2 linked regions of the Saccharomyces cerevisiae S288C genome follow. The protein of the gene in region 2 purifies or fractionates together with the protein of the main gene of each other region. This does not show direct contact. Each region holds a gene or a part of one and is shown on either strand. Other genes may lie near its edges. The genes, in order: ACP1 and ISD11.

What was found.
Region 1: the proteins of ISD11 (region 2) and ACP1 purify together in Saccharomyces cerevisiae (affinity purification with mass spectrometry; 4 studies listed by BioGRID, with this or other methods). This does not show direct contact.

The regions. Positions count from the first base shown.
Region 1 is NC_001143.9:79,660-82,110, forward strand, and holds ACP1 (acyl carrier protein), read right to left. Parts: upstream 879-2,451; coding exon 501-878; downstream 1-500. Other genes in the region: type 1 protein phosphatase-activating protein SDS22, read right to left, coding at 1-223; DPH2 (2-(3-amino-3-carboxypropyl)histidine synthase), read left to right, coding at 1,376-2,451. UniProt on the Saccharomyces cerevisiae protein: Carrier of the growing fatty acid chain in fatty acid biosynthesis. May be involved in the synthesis of very-long-chain fatty acids.
Region 2 is NC_001137.3:248,855-251,735, reverse strand, and holds ISD11 (Isd11p), read right to left. Parts: upstream 1,019-2,881; coding exon 734-1,018; downstream 1-733. Other genes in the region: TPA1 (oxidative DNA demethylase), read right to left, coding at 1-8.

The sequences.
Region 1 (2,451 bases), on a different chromosome or scaffold from region 2:
GTCTGAGACATAATTGTTTCAAATTCTTGAACCTATAAAGGTTCAAATCTTCTAACGATTTGATTTTTAGATGGACCAAGTCAATAACCTCTACATCATCAGGCAGATCTTGTGTCAGTTCCGAATCTGCAGTGATGAAGTCAGGATTTGTATCGTCTACAACCTCAATCTTGTGTCTTTCGTCTTTTTCTTCACTATCTTTGTTAACTGAATTCTTATCCATAATGATGGCTATGTGGTGCTAGATTTCTTCCGACTTCTTGCTATTTTCATTCAAAAGGTTATACATGTTTTATTTTTCAACAGTACCTTAATATATAATAATTCGGGGCCAAAATAACAAACAACGAGAAAAAGGGAGGAGAGAGTAAAGTATAGTATTAACAGGGCTGGTTATATAGATATATATATATACGGGTCAATCGATCTATTTATATACATACGAATATAATATGACATGGGGGTGACACGATACAATATAATAGAGCGGGGACGGACACTTAGTTTGCGTCGGGATTGGAAGCGATATAATCGACCGTTTCACCAACACTTCTCAACTCATCAGCCACTTTGTCAGGGATTTCAATATCAAATTCTTCTTCAATAGCTACGAGCAGCTCGACAGTGTCCAAGGAGTCCAACCCCAAATCCTTGTGAAATTGGGTATCGCTGGAGATTTGCTTGTTGGCAATGTTGGGAGAGTTCTTATCAAACGCCTTGATAACATCAATGACCCTTTGAGAAACCTGATCTTTGCTCAAGTTTGCAGAATAAAATCTTTGTGCGAGTATGGTGTTGGACATAACGGAACGGCCCATTATAGTGCGGTACGCAGAAGGTGCCACGCGGGAAGAAATGCGGCAAACGGATCTAAACATGGCAAGGAAGGTGCTGTATTGAGTTAGTTGTGTTGTTTGTACTAATTACACTGCAAGTGTGACTATTCTTCCTTTTGCTTCGTCATCACCACCTTTCTCTTTTACTCAGAACCCGTTCGAAGGGGCGAAGAAAGAAGCAATTGACAAATAATCTGTATTCCGTCAACAGTGATATATGTCACGTGACTCTGATAAAACTCCATGGAGTCTCTTCGGAGTGTATGTGTGAAAAGAATAATACATATAAGACATCTACAGGATCAGTCTGATAGTTTTAATGCTATGGTAGACTTCAGAATGTCTTTTTAAGTATGCCATTTGGTTAAATCTGTCCTTTTATATGTACTTGGTGCTTCTTTTTTCTTTACTTTTTTTTTTTTCAGTGAGAAGCTCATCGCAACAAGAAGAAAAAAGACTAGTTCAAAGGTAAAAGAGTTAAGATGATTAGTGATGGATTTCTAAGTGGCAGCGTTGAAAGATCGTGCAAAGGTTGAAAAATGGAAGTTGCACCGGCCTTATCGACTACTCAGTCGGACGTGGCGTTTCAGAAGGTGGAGACACATGAAATTGACAGGTCTTCATACTTGGGGCCATGTTATAATAGCGATGAGCTTATGCAACTTATCTCGGCTTATTACAATGTCGAGCCTCTCGTGGGTTATCTGGAACAGCACCCGGAGTACCAAAACGTGACCTTGCAGTTTCCTGACGATTTAATCAAGGACTCCTCGTTGATAGTAAGGCTGCTGCAATCGAAATTTCCCCATGGGAAGATAAAGTTTTGGGTTTTAGCTGACACAGCGTACAGTGCATGCTGTGTAGACGAGGTCGCTGCTGAACACGTACATGCAGAAGTCGTGGTACATTTTGGTGACGCATGTTTGAACGCCATCCAAAACTTGCCCGTGGTTTACTCATTCGGAACTCCATTTTTGGATTTGGCACTGGTGGTGGAGAACTTTCAGAGGGCATTCCCAGACTTATCCTCCAAAATTTGTTTGATGGCAAACGCACCCTTCTCTAAGCATTTGTCACAGCTGTACAATATTTTGAAGGGCGACCTGCACTACACAAATATCATATATTCCCAAGTGAACACCTCTGCGGTAGAAGAAAAATTCGTAACCATACTTGACACCTTTCACGTTCCCGAAGACGTAGACCAGGTGGGTGTGTTCGAAAAAAATAGCGTGCTGTTTGGTCAGCACGACAAAGCAGACAACATCTCGCCCGAGGACTATCATCTTTTCCATTTGACCACCCCACAGGATCCGAGATTACTGTATTTGTCTACTGTGTTTCAATCTGTTCATATTTTCGATCCGGCTTTACCTGGCATGGTAACGGGGCCATTTCCCTCTCTAATGAGGCGTTACAAGTACATGCATGTGGCAAGAACAGCGGGATGTATAGGTATTCTGGTCAACACGCTGTCGCTACGTAATACAAGAGAAACTATCAACGAGCTGGTCAAGCTTATCAAAACTCGTGAGAAAAAACACTATTTATTTGTTGTCGGAAAGCCAAATGTGGCCAAGCTAGCAAACTTTGAAGATATTGATATTTGGTGCAT
Region 2 (2,881 bases):
CTCTTCATTATATTCCCGGTATATTTGGTGATCTTAATTAAAAAATGTAAAAATAAAAAGAAAGAGTGCTAAAGAATGACACAAGAAAACAGTTGGCTCTTCGTGTTGTAAACGGAAGAGAACGGCTTCCAAGTGATGACTTGATTAATATATAAGCGAATTTTTTTTTTTTTTCACTTTTACCTAAGAAGTTTATCCGATGGAATGGTCCGAAAAAAGAAGATGCAACTATTACGCACATAAAGTAGGTGTAAGATCGCCCGATACAAACAATAAATAAGCAAATACTCATTTTATTGCATACTTCGGAAACTTTATGCCTGATGTAAAAGAATCCAAGCAATTCATAGGATCTCTCATTGCATCAGCTTGTTATCATACCGTAAAGACATCTCACCTCAGAGTGGGCTTATGTTTTAGTTATAGCGTTTTATATACAAGCTATAAACTCTCCTCTTATAGTCCCATGTGGGTTGAAGAAAAGAAAAGAAAAGAAAAATCTTCTACCAAAAAAGAAATGCTATTGATATTAAGGAAGTAAATTACATGATCTAATTGAAGTCCAACCATGCAAAGTATCGGTCGAAAATTAGGAATATCATCTAATAATATCTTTTCCAAATTAAAGGCGGCCACCTCTCTATAAGATATAACCATACGAATTTCCTGACGTGAGAAGGAAAAAATTACTGGAAAGTTCTTTCTTACATGCAATGACCAGTTAGGCCAGGTTTTAGTGTTTTCTTCCTTGCAATGGTTCTACGACCAGCCTGTCAAATGTGTACATCTGAGAAATAACAGACTGTCTTTTCAAGACACCTAAGTCGTTCTTAGCTTCCTTAAATAGGTTCATTAACACTTTTGGGTCTTGCTGATTCATGTTCTTTCTGAAAGTAGTCCTTGTTTTACTTAAAAAGTATTCCCTGAAGTTGTAATTATTGAATTGATTAGCATTCTTGATGAATTCCTTGTATAAAGACAACACCTGCCTTCTTGTTGGAGCTGTAAATCCAGGCATTTCTCTTCTTTCAAAAGGTGATTCCAAGTTCCCTATACTGCAGATAAAAATGGGAATAAAACTGCTATCCAAACTTCACTTGTTACCTTAGGCTCCGTAAAGTTACTGTGTAATTATATCAATTCCTCAATCATTTTTCTCCGCCGCTTATAAATGAATGAGAATAAATAGACTGCTATTACCCGGAAAGCGGGTGTTTCTCCAATAAATGCATTGTTTAATAATAAGTGGGTAATACAATATTGTTTGGATTTGATGGAAATAGCTATTGCTTTATCTACTTTACTGTGGACATTTGGGAACTAAAAAAACCTCTTTAACCAATATATTCAGCATATATTATGTAAAAATGAATAAAAAAGGTCCTACCCGGATTCGAACCGGGGTTGTCCGGATCAAAACCGAAAGTGATAACCACTACACTATAGGACCAGTACAACTGTAAATTGTTGTATCTCAAAATGAGATACGTCAGTATGACAATACGTCATCCTAAACGTTCATAAAACACAGATGAAACAACCTTATAACAAAACGAACAACATGAGATAAAACCCGGCCTTCCCTAGCTGAACTACCCAAACGTATAAATGCCTGAACAATTAGTTTAGATCCGAGATTCCGCGCTTCCACCACTTAATATGATTCATATTTTATATAATATATAAGATAAGTAACATTCCGTGAATTAATCTGATAAACTGTTTTGACAACTGGTTACTTCCCTAAGACTGTTTATATTAGGATTGTCAAGACACTCCGGTATTACTCGAGCCCGTAATACAACATAAATTTAGCCGTAAAAAAATCAACTAACCCTACAGTAAACTAAACGTAGTACTTTGACACCGATAAACAGGTGAAATATTGAAAAATCGGCAAAAAAATACATAATTATTAGCACTTTACTGTTATTGAACATTATGATATCAGGTATACAAGATATTAGGTATACAAGGTATACCTGAGAAACTGGTGAATAATTCGATAATTGTTGGCATTCCATTGTTGGGAGAGGCTATTATATCATGTATACAGAATATAGTAGAAGTTCTCCCCAAGAATATAGGAATCCTCAAAATGAAATCGATATCTCTACATAGTGATACAACGATTATTCCTCATTCCGTTTCATATGTTTCATTATCCTATTAGATTACATTTCAACTTTCACTAGATTTTAATACTTATAACACATTTTTAAGCAGCATGTGATAATATTCAGGTAACATTAATAATACTAAGCAGATGACATTGGAATTTCGTTACAACAATACCTCTAATATTGCTTCTGCCGAAATCAAATTATGATAAGAACCAATCATCATCCATCGTCTAATATTGTAAACTAGTATACCATCATATACGGTATAAGAAGATAATATAAATTGAGAGACAGCCATCAAAAATTGATGGAAACTGAAATGTAATCTAATAGGATAATGAAAGACAAAGTATAACGGGAAGGAAGATAAAGTAACACCATCGATTCTCTTTTGTGAATTCCTATAACGTCGGGAGAATTGCTTGTATACTATGTATACCTAATGTTATAGGATTCGGCAACAATGCAATCCGAACAATTATCAAATTACTCGCCAGTTTCTCAGGTATATATATTATCCTGAATGTTCTCTCCCAGGAGTATGGACCCTTAAAAGGCAAATCAATAATCTTAATATAATGTTTTAATTGTTTTTCTTTTTCTACGTTTCTGAAAATTACGATTAATCCATTCTATTAAATTGTCAACTCTGCGTTATTCCTTCACCAAATTTGAATACGAATCAGACAATTCTAAAATTACGTCATATTTTAACAACACATATCATAATATTCCACCAAAAGTCGCTTTTGATTAAT